2 linked regions of the Arabidopsis thaliana genome follow. The gene in region 2 interacts genetically with the main gene of each other region. Each region holds a gene or a part of one and is shown on either strand. Other genes may lie near its edges.

Region 1 (6,324 bases), on a different chromosome or scaffold from region 2:
CAATAAGAGGGATTTCAATAAAGCTCATACGCAGCACTCTGGCCATGGGTTTAGCCAACCAGATTTGCCTGCTGCTTCAAAAGAAGGTCGTGTCCCTGGAGATCATGTGTGGCATACAGCTAATAGGACAGGTAAGTATGGTGGTCGTGAAAGTACAAGGGACAAACCTTATGGATCTCAGGAAAAAAATGTTGTTGGATACGAGCATCAAGGGTTTACTACAGAACAAAAAACGACATCAGCTGATACACAAGCCCAGTTGCAAAACCGATCTACCAATAAGGAGGTCCAGGTTGAGCAAAATCCGAATAGTATGTTCCAAAAGAACACAGGGCAGGGTCGACGGTTTGGAAGAGGGCAGGAGTCACAAGGAGGTTGGGGTTTACCGGCGCAAGAGAATATGCACCATCACCATCAGAGGCCACCTTCAAACAGAGATAGACAGAAGCAAAATCTGCATTATGAATACAAACCTGTTGGGTCTCATACTTATGATGGAGAACGTAGTCGAGAACAATCGAAAGAGAGTTCTCAGACAGAAGGTCCAAGATACAGAGAGAAGGGACAGGGGCAGCAAAGGCAGGGTGGATACCAACAGCAAAGGGGTACTAGTGGGAGAAACGGTGGTCATGGATTCACTGGTGATAGAAACTAAGATTGGCCTCTTATTGTTATTTAGGTAGTAAGAGCTGCCATGCTGAGGATACTTGCATTTTGAGATATGGCGATTGAGGAAGCTAATTCGTAGGCACATAGCTTGGGAGATTGCTGAGAGGAGACCTATCCGAGGAGGTATTGGCAGATTAAAAAAAAAAAGTCTTTGTCTTGAGAGTTTATTATTATATGTTTCAGTCACTTGTTTGAATATGATTATAACTACTGTAGTAGCCTTTTGTATACACTAGATGAATACTCATGAGTATTTTTGTTTTTAAAGTTGCTTAAAAAAATATGATTATGTTTTTTGGTTGATTTTGATGTTCATTTTGATAAATTCCTATCTATTTAATATAATTTTTTTATTTTATGATTAGATTTATCTATAACTCGAAATATCAATTCTAGTATAATATATATATTTATATCTATTATTCTAATATTTTATTGTCATGATCACATATAAAAACAATATATGATATATTGATACAATGTATGCGTTTTGAAACTTGTCTAAATTAATTGTACAAACAATTATTTATTCCATATATTCTCTTGTCATCAACTACACAATCACATCATGATATGCTAGTAATTCAAGTCACACTTTAATTCTTTTCACTTGCATATAGCCATATAGAATCTCATATTTTTTTTTTTGTATGTCGAATGTCGAATGTCTCAAATGACTATTATATTATAAAATTGTATATCAATGTTACTAAGTTATTAGAACGCACCAAAATGTACAGAAAAAGTTCATATGATAAATTATATTCACAAAACGTAATAATAAGAAAATATCTAATTAAATTTACTAAATTTATATGAGGTTAGGTAGCAAACATAAGAGTTTTAAGAGTTTGGATTTTGGAATTGGTGGTGTTTGTTTCTCAAACTTCATAAATTAGAGTTTAAAATGTTTTTTTATTTTTTGTGGTCGGCATAAGAGTTGAAGTTTTAATAAAATAAAATAGTATCTGATCATTTTATTGGAGAAAACATAAAAGATGTAGTATTTTATAAGAACTCGAATTGGTCAATTTTCAAAATGTTAGTATGAAAAATAAAATATCTAGTTATATGTACTCGTATCTCTTGATATTTTTGGCTTTAACTTAGGGATGTTAGTTTGATTTGTCTTTCTGGATAAGCCAGTAGTAACCAAAAAAGTCAAAATCTTGTTGGCTAAGTCAGAAATTAATTAAATAAACAAAAGGGCCCATTAAATTAATTATTTTAATAAATATTCTGTGTAATGATATATAGTATAAAACGCGACCGTCTAAATTCTTGGTTGTTTACGAGAAAAGCGGATTACGGGTACGCTTCTTCTAAGATAAATCTCTCCCCGATTCTCTCTTTTTCTCGCTAGATACTCTTTTTCTTCAATTAGGGTTTCTTCTCGCTTGCCTTTTAATTCTCTCCAGCTGATCTGATCTCCGTTACCGATGGAGTCTACTGCTAACGCACTCGTCGTCAAGGTTAGAGATACAACCTTCCTTTCTTTATTTGCGAATCGTCAGTTTTCTCACAGTAATTGTCGGTGATTCTGGGTTTTCGTGGCGATCGTCTCGTTTCTGTTGATTTTGTTGCTTGTAATCGGTCCTTTCCTTTTGAATTTCGCTATGGATCGACTCTCTCTCTCTCTGTCTCTGTATTATAATCTTAAGTGTAATTCGAAAATTTTCCAGACATACTTAGCAGTATCTGCTTGAATCTTATACCCGAACAATGATTAAAACTATAAGTTATCGTAATTAGAATCGTAATCTATTTCTTCGACAATTTTTTTTCATTTTTTTCATTGAAGTGATACTAATTTTGTTTGTGATTATGTAGGTGAGCTATGGAGGTGTGCTTAGGCGTTTCAGGGTGCCTGTTAAAGCTAATGGACAGCTTGATCTTGAAATGGCTGGTCTTAAGGAAAAGATCGCTGCTCTCTTTAACCTCTCTGCGGATGCTGAATTGAGTCTGACTTACTCTGATGAGGATGGGGATGTGGTTGCCCTTGTTGATGACAACGATCTCTTTGATGTTACTAATCAGCGTCTTAAGTTCTTAAAGATCAATGTGAACGCTGGCGTGTCCACTAACTCTGCTGCTCCAGAGAGTAGTGGGAGTTCCACACCTGCGGGTATGCCTAACCCGGTTTCCAAAATCCAGAAGGGTATAAATGATGTTCTGATGGCTGTACCTAACCCGATGCGTGATACCATATCAAAGGTGTACATGGACCTTGCATCCAAGGCCTCAACTTCTAGTCCTGTAGTTGGTGAGATGCTTGATTGCATTTCCAAGCTAGGGCAGCTCTCAATTCCTCAGGAAAGTAGTCCTTGCTCACCTGTTACCAAGCCTGGTTCTTCAGGTGCTTCCCTGAGCAGGGATGTTCCTTCCGCTGGTGGAAAGAAGGATATCTCTGAGAGGACCCAGACCGGAAGGAAACCTGTTAATCTGAATGAACCCACTGGCGCTCATTCAAAGACTTCTGGTCATGTACCAAACTCGTCTGGACTGGGTGCTAATTTCAACGAGTGTCCCTTTAGTGGCAGTACCATGAATTACTCCTGTCCAAATCCAGTTAACCTCAACAAGCATCCTCGTCGTGTTTGTCATTCCAAAAAGAGCACCAATGGTGATTACTGGACTTCATTGGGTGTATTCCATAAGGGCATCCGTTGTGACGGATGTGGAGTTCTTCCAATTACTGGGCCTAGATTTAAGTCGAAAGTGTAAGGATGCCTTCTACTTACTACTTTAGAAACTATAAACATGCTAGAACTTATTGTGCTTATATGTTTCGCTTGTGAATATTGTGCAGTAAAGAAGACTATGATCTGTGCACCATCTGCTATTCGGTGATGGGTAACGAGGGGGATTACACAAGAATGGATAAGCCTGTATCCGTTCAACATCTGCATCCTTTTAGAGGACCGTTTACCCAAGTATTGCTCTTCTTCTAAGTTTATAATTACTTTTCTTCTTGTTTATTCTATGTGTCTTCTCTGATAGCTATGAGGAATTCTTACCCTTTTTTTTTTGGTATAGTTTCCTAATCCTTGGTTGAGCCACCCTGTGCCACGAGCAACCAATGGAGGTGCACCTCTCAGGTGTACTCGCCCTAAACTAGACAGTCGGTTTGTCCTTGATGTGAATGTAATTGATGGAACCGTTGTTGCTCCATCCGCCCCATTTACTAAGATTTGGAAAATGAGGAACAGTGGTTCGCTGGTGTGGCCACAGGGCACACAGATTGTCTGGATCGGTGGGGACAGGTTCTGCAACTCCTTGTCAGTTGATTTACAGGTTAGAAACAATTTCCTTAGTTTTCACTCTTTTAGCTCGATTCTTACCACTAACAGAGCAATTATGTTGTTTGAATTTACACTCGATGGCTTGAGTTAGGTTGTTTTCTTCACGAAGTGACTATAGCTGCTTGATTATATAATACTAACTGTTTTTTTCTCTCTTTACACATGGCAGATTCCAAAGGAGGGTGTGCCTATCTATAGTGAACTTGACGTCAAAGTTGATTTTGTTGCACCAGAGTTACCTGGTCGATACATTTCTTATTGGAGGATGGCTACCTCTGACGGTGCTAAGTTTGGGCAACGTGTTTGGGTGTTGATACATGTACTTACTAGATTTGTGCAGCTTCTGTCCTTTAATTCTTTGTCTCTTTCTATCATATGTGTTTGATACATTTTTTCTTTTTGCATGGTTAGGTTGATGCATCTCTGAAGAATTCTGTTGTGAATGAGTTTCATGGACTGAACCTTAATGCCTCCCCCTCCCTTGATGAGAATTTTCCAAGCGAATTTCTAGGGATTATGAATTATGAGTCAGCTCAACCTGGCAGCTCCAGTGTCAATCCTGGGACCGTGAAAGGTACTGATCTAGAGGGCGAAGTTGGTGAAACACAGGCCGTGGAAAAAGAAAACCTTTTGGTTGGTGAAGCTCATCCTGCTATCCCTCACGGTCATTCTCCTTCATCTTCATCTTCTTCATTTAACATGGTCGACTTCCCAAGCATGCCTGCTGTTGAGGTCTTGTCTGGTGGTTCTTCATCTACTACAAAAGACGTGCCAGTTCCTCTTCAGGAGGATATAGAAAAGAATGACGTGGAGATAACCATGCTCAAGGAGCTCGAGGAAATGGGTTTCAAGGAGATAGATTTGAACAAGGAGATCTTGAGGGATAACGAGTACAACCTGGAGCAGTCTGTTGATGCTCTTTGTGGAGTTAGCGAGTGGGATCCAATCCTAGAGGAGCTTCAGGAGATGGTAAGTGTGTCTGCACTTGGTGAATTTATTAAATCTTACTTTGCAGATTGGAATGTTGAAAATATTGTGATTTTGCAGGGCTTCTGTGATGATGTGACGAACAAGAGACTGCTGAAGAAGAACAATGGAAGCATCAAAGGCGTGGTAATGGATCTCCTCACAGGGGAGAAGGAGGCTTGATGAGCTCTTTGGTTTCTGGCAACTCTTCTCTATCTCTCTTATCTATCAGGAATAATTATGTTTTATAAATAAAACCTGATCTCTTAGTTTGGTTTCGTGCTGCGTCACATGGTCTGTTCCTTTGCTTTGTGTTGGGATGATGTTACTATGTTAACTCTATCTAAGACATGGATGGTTTCTTTCTTATTTCAGTTTAGTTTATGTCGTTCTGCTCCTCGGGTCAAATGAATGGTTGAGTCTTTTTTATTGATTTCATCACTTTAGGCCTTTTTGGTCTCCATTTCTCAGCTGTATTTGGCTTAATGTGAGTTTGTGAGAAGAGCTTTCCTTGAAACAACGTACTGTTTTAATTCACATTTACCCTCTCATCTCTCTCAATCAGGTGACATTTTCACGTGGTCGAATCATCGGCATGGCAGTTGCAATTAGTCATGGTGGTCGGCTTCATTAAACTGTTTACAACTGACAAAACTTTGTTATTCTATCCATAGAAACCATTCAAAAACCAATAAAAGTTTTTGAATAGACCAATAAAAGACATTCATAATTGATTTCACTTTTTGAGAAAAATTTACAAGTTTGAAGTAGTAACATGATGAGTTTGTTAGAATCTCTTTGAAGACGAACGAGTGAACAAACTCCTAAGGCTGTTTCTGCTGTCTCTAGTTTTCTTCTTCTTCATCTTCTTGAGGCCATCATTATCTGAAGAAGAGAAGGTTTGTTCTTCTAAAGTGAGTTCGCGTTCCAGTTTCTTAGAGACCGAAAGAATCTCGTAGGGATCCCACAGCGACTGTCCGAATTCCCAATCCAAAAACGACGGATGATGCTTTGCGGACAAGGCTTCCGTTTTGAAACGTGATGCCTTCCCTTTGACAAAAGCATGCTTTCTCTGCGCATCGAACTCTAAAACAGTATGTTTTGAGGTTTGGGAGTGGCTGAGCCAAGCCTGCGCAGCTGCCTTCATCAACTCTAGTCTCTTCTTCTTCTCCTCTTCTTCTTCTTCATTTTCATCTTTAGCCTCTCGTTTCTTCCTCATCTCTCTTCTTCTTCTTCTCCATTTTGGGACTTTTGGGGATCCAAGTCTTATTATGTAAGGTTTAATGTCAGCCTTAAGTTTCTTGTTCGAATCTACTCACTTCTGTCTTGTCTTCTGTCTTGTCTCTTCCTTTTCATCTTTCTTTGTTTATTATTTATTTTCATGCCT
Region 2 (5,304 bases):
ATCACGAAATTGCTAAAACTCGTGATTCGTAATAATTACAGGTCAACATATCGTGAGAAAGTTGAAAAAATGGAATATTTAATAGAGAGGATAGAATATGGATTCGTCCTAAACCACTCTTTGGTGTTATTCCTCACCAAACTTTCACAGAAAAGCCAAGAAAAGAAAGAATTTGATGCTTTCTTTTTAACTTTTTATCCCCAAGAAGTAACGTTTACAATTCATTGGATACAAAAAAAGAAATAAATCCCATAAAGGAAGAAAAAGAATCGTAATAATCCACAACCACAATGGTGGGTTTACCTTTTATGTGTCCCCAGTGGAAATCATATAGATAAAGAAAATAGTAGTTTTATTTCTATTTAAAAGACCCCAAGATTTACGCCTTATTAGGCAGAATTCATTCAATACTTTGAATACCTTATGATGGCCCATGTCTTTTGCTTTCTTTCAACTTTGATGAACATTCAACTAAATCATTGTTTTTCTACACTATTGCATGACAACTTTTTGTTTTTATATTGAATTTTCAGGCTTTCAGTTTTATTTTAGATGATTAATCACACAATCCAGATTTTTTTCATGGCACAGAACCGGAGTGGTCCAAGAAGGTTTCAAAAAATACTTAAGCATGCCTTGGACTACATCCTAATGAGATACAATTCATCAATCTTGTTGACGTCAGAGAACTGCATCTAAATCTGTCTGTTATTGGGCTTTTCTCAATGATAAACAATATCTGTATGTATGTTATTGGGCTTTCCTCAATAGTAAATAAATTCTGTATGTGTGTTATATAGGCTAAGCCATATGGCCAATGTGTACAGAGTGCACAAAAAAACATTGTAATATATACACAGGGCAGAGAATCTTACACTGAAAACATCGGCAACAACAAACACAAATGTGAAAAAAGGTAAACGCACCCATCTGTTTTGTTCGGTCACCTGAGTAGTTAACCTCAATTTCTCATCCGCTTCATTGTGTTTATGTTAATCCCCATTTCGATCAACAACCCATCTTGTAAGCCCAGACGTGTTTTTCTAGATATGCTGCCACTGCCTCTTTGATAGCCAGATTTGGAACGAGATTAGCCGGGTCGATTTTTTCACGAGTTATAGGATCAAACTTCCCCACCTATCAAGTGGTGTAAACGATCAAACCTTAACAGGAATGAGGAATATTTTTTATAGAGATTAAGGCTACAAGAAAAGAGCGATGATAATGCAAACCTTCTTGAGATGTTCAAGGATTGCTGCTCTTTCATATGTAACCCCACTTGGAGAAATTACAGGATCTCGGAAAATCTCAAGAGTTATATTGCAACATAAATAATCTGGCACCTGAAAAGAAAAACCAGAAATGTATTTGACCTCAAATATAAATGAACGATGGGTCTTAAAAGCTTTTAAAGAAAATTTAATGCACCTCAGTTGGTTTATCTTCTTCTGCAGCTTTCTTAAACACTCGTTCAAGAGCTTTCAAACGCTCAGTATGGGCAGTATATGCTTCGTCTGAGGACTCTTCTGTTCGAGACATATCTAAAGCACGTTGTTGATTAAGAGCAGCCTCACAAGTTTCCCTAACACAAACATGAATAGTTCCATAAAGCCACAAAAGCACAGTTCCAAGTCGAATGATAGCACTGGATTAAGAAAGTTACAGAACCTACTTCAAACTATTCAGTTCCCATGACCGCATTGCAGAAACCAGTTCCCACTCCATGTATTTTGCTTTAGAAAGCTCTTCCCATATTTCTTCTACCATATATCCTGTTGGATTCGAGCATCTTCCAAGATCTAAAGCCTATATGAAACGTAGCTACATGAAGTTAACAGGAAACAGGTATCAAACCAAAATTTGTTTGCAGTATTTGATGGCATAAACAAACCAACCCATCTCTAGTGATTTTTCTAACTAAAACAAGTGTCCACAGTATCCACTTAGACATCTTTCAAAAGGAAAAAGATGGAGATTCAAGTGGTGCCTCACATCTTCATTAAGATGCTTGGAAACTACACTACTTAGGTCTCAACGTTACGACTTAAACAATCATGTCCACTGATAAATTTTACAGAAAAAAGCTTAGGACTAACAAAGATCCTTACCCTTTGCAATTCTTTGACTCCATTAGTAAATTCTTTCTTCTGCAATAATGCAAGTCCTAGCATGTAGTGTGCCTGCCACAGAACATAATTGTAAAATCCTCATATGATGGAGAAGAAAGGATCAAAGAAGGCCAAGAAAAGATAAAACAAAACAAAAAACTTGACATATTCCATACATAGCACACCAAGCAAAAGAATTCCATTTAGATATAATCAAAAGAGTCAAACCTTGACGGAATTGTGGACAAGCTGAATAGCTTTGCGACAATCCTCTTCAACCTTAGTCCAATCCCTAAATTTGATGCAAGCAAAGAAGCCAAACATGAACCATAAAGTATTTGGGCATTAGGATTGCCTAATCAGAAGTATGTATAAAATTTGCTTGACAGAACAATACTCACTTTCGCTTCATGTGGCAAAGTGCTCGATTGGTCCAATAAGCAGGAACATTTGGAGACAAAGCTATTGCCTACTCAATTACACAAAAAAAAAATGATAAGAAAAACCACTACAATTGAATAAGCCTGAAGTTTCTTGATGACTTATAACGATGAGCACATAAAAGATTCATAAATTCCATCAAATGTCTATTCTCGAATTGTACACTCCATCAAAACCTAATTTGGATGCAATTAAGTTCTGATTCACAAACGAATTGTCCAATTTCGAAATTATAATCAAGGGTTTATTACTCTACGCAGATCTCAATCAAAATCTCGGAAAACACAAAACCCTAACGATGAAATTGAGAGAAGGAGAGTGAGAACCATGTACCTCGGTATAAGCATCAATGGCAGCACCAAAACGTTCTTTCTTAAAGCAATTGTTTCCGTCTTCCTTTAACCGCTCCGCCATGGCGGAAGCCACGCCTGTAACCATATCTACGGCACCCCAGAAAACCAAGTCTTTATCCTTTCCAACACTCCTCTGTAACTTGTGCGACGGCGCGTCCCGGTGCGTTTCAGAAGAGAAGTAGCCGCGAAATTTCTCGATGAAAGGAGAGAGAAAAGTAAGCAAAAGGGAATTTTAAATGAATCGGTTATCGAAAGAGATTAGTCTCTTTACCGGGTCAGCTCGATGAGACTTGGATCATAATCCGGATCTTATAGTCATTCTTTTTGTTTACTACCATAAACCGGTCATTGGGTTAATTGTAAATTATTTATACAACTAGGATTAAACCCGCGGTTTCCCGTCGCGCGAAGGCTTTTATAAATTTTTTATTAAATAAATTAGTGTGTGTTATATTAAAAAATAGTAACATATATTTAGTTTTTTTAAAACTGGTATAAATAATGATTGGAATCTTTTATTAGTATGGAGACTATTTACTGATTAGAATCATGTATTTTATTGTGTTTAAAGTTGTGTATCAATTACTAAATGTGTATTTGATATAAGTAAAATGGTGACAAAAATATAATATAATGATAGATGGTGTAATTATTTTGTTGATTATAAGATCTTTAAAAACCAAAGTTGGTATGTTTTATCTTTTATTTTTGGCAAAACAAAGATAATAACATTTATGAGGAGACCTTTTTTCTAAATCATACAGAATATTTATACTAAAGAGTATTTTGAAGCTGTATTAATGATCCCATTACCCAAATTATATGATACAATAAAAGAATATACCCCCAAAAGAAAACAATGCAAAGTAAATCATCTTAACACCTAATTCTTCTTTCTAAAGATTGATTAGATTCACTATTCATGTTTTTCATCTCTTCATTGTCTTGTCCGTAGCAGCCGATCACCAATCGTTCTCAACTCGAACGTTCTCACAGCAAGGCCAACATCACGGATTGTAGTGTCTAGCACATAAGGAGTGCGTGCTCGCGGCGCTGAGAGATCGAACCATGGTAATGGAAGTAACGGATTTTGCTCTCAGCCTTGTGCTATGTCTTCCCTTGTAGATTCTGAGACATGTGTACGCCTATCGCGAATACATTCTCCGGCTGGACCGCGTATTTCCGATCCCGTCTTGGAACCTTCTTGACGTCTCTATATGCCAGTTTCTCAATTCCCCATTTTCTGAAACACAAAACCAAAATACCATTTAGATTAGTCCCTGAACTAAACCAAATCAATAACCGATATGTTCCCTCCTAAAAACAGAAAATATACAAACCAATTACAATTCAATATTTGGTACAAACAAAAGAAATAATCTTTACAACATTTCTCACTAATATCATGTGATGTTCAATAAAAGCAAAGATCGTGACCGACATAGGAGACTAATACAGAATGCACAAAGACTTTTACAGGCCAAGTGTTGACAGAATCAGATGCTTATTGATATTATATGTCACCTTCAAAAAACTTGTGACTAATATTCTAAGTCACTCAATAAACAACACATGGGCTTTGGTTAACGTTCAATCATTAAAATCAACAAAGTTATGAATGTTACCTGTAAGTTCTGGCCGGGCCATCACCGGAATAACAAACCTGACTACTCATAGGCATCAGTTCAATAGTAAACTGAAAATATTCCTCCAAAGATTCCATCACAGACGAAATCGTCTCTTTCACCGGAACATGTAAAAACTCATCAACATCAACGAAGAACATCCACTTCGTCATGAATACTTATGCAAACAATCATTCACTATCATGAATTGATTATGATAATAACCATCGAATCGTTCTTGATCTCAATTTGGTTTGTGATGAGAATGACTTTGATATTTATAGTGATGAAGGAGGCTAGGGTTGTTGGATCTAATATTTTCAAAAATATTCGAAAATATCTTGCAGGATAAGTTGCAAATCAAAGATTGGATCCTCACTAATGATTCGAATTTGGTTTAGTTCATAATGATTGGCTATATTTAGATAAGTGGTAAATATTGTTTAGTTGATTATGGTTAGTTTTAAATTTAAGAGAATAAATTTATAAGATTTTTTTCTAATTTATGGAATGTATTATCGTGTTATGGTAGTTAGAAGAATCGAATAAACTCGTCTATGCCGATTTTATAGTGATTAGTGAGGAGGGTGAATATATGATTGAAGATTCTTAAAATCGTAATTAAATATGCAGACTATTTTGATGGAATATGCGTGTATTAGATACTAAAAATTGTTGAGATATACAACTAATCGTGTTATGGCTAAGATTGCATTACTTGATGGTAACCCATTATGTAGTTTTACATGTGATCAAAAGCCCATTAAACATAACTCA

The links.
Region 1: of CHIP (region 2) and NBR1, changing one enhances a phenotype caused by changing the other (phenotypic enhancement), as found in Arabidopsis thaliana (one study listed by BioGRID).

What each region holds. Positions count from the first base shown.
Region 1 is NC_003075.7:12,739,083-12,745,406, forward strand, and holds NBR1 (ubiquitin-associated (UBA)/TS-N domain-containing protein / octicosapeptide/Phox/Bemp1 (PB1) domain-containing protein), read left to right. Parts: upstream 1-1,949; 5' UTR 1,950-2,108; coding exon 2,109-2,141; intron 2,142-2,499; coding exon 2,500-3,389; intron 3,390-3,478; coding exon 3,479-3,602; intron 3,603-3,705; coding exon 3,706-3,963; intron 3,964-4,140; coding exon 4,141-4,290; intron 4,291-4,382; coding exon 4,383-4,940; intron 4,941-5,018; coding exon 5,019-5,120; 3' UTR 5,121-5,588; downstream 5,589-6,324. Other genes in the region: MOS1 (modifier of snc1), read left to right, coding at 1-655; AT4G24700 (uncharacterized protein), read right to left, coding at 5,725-6,156. UniProt on the Arabidopsis thaliana protein: Autophagic substrate degraded in the vacuole by non-selective autophagy. Requires ATG8 protein expression to be recognized as an autophagic substrate. Acts probably as a receptor for autophagosomal degradation of ubiquitinated proteins.
Region 2 is NC_003074.8:2,357,315-2,362,618, forward strand, and holds CHIP (carboxyl terminus of HSC70-interacting protein), read right to left. Parts: upstream 3,236-5,304; 5' UTR 2,988-3,235; coding exon 2,883-2,987; intron 2,578-2,882; coding exon 2,510-2,577; intron 2,401-2,509; coding exon 2,337-2,400; intron 2,181-2,336; coding exon 2,109-2,180; intron 1,807-2,108; coding exon 1,673-1,806; intron 1,583-1,672; coding exon 1,429-1,582; intron 1,344-1,428; coding exon 1,233-1,343; intron 1,138-1,232; coding exon 1,009-1,137; 3' UTR 593-1,008; downstream 1-592. Other genes in the region: AT3G07380 (glycosyltransferase family protein (DUF23)), read right to left, coding at 4,010-4,145, 4,528-4,700. UniProt on the Arabidopsis thaliana protein: Has E3 ubiquitin-protein ligase activity and may target misfolded substrates towards proteasomal degradation. Regulates the activity of some serine/threonine-protein phosphatases by E3 ubiquitin-protein ligase activity.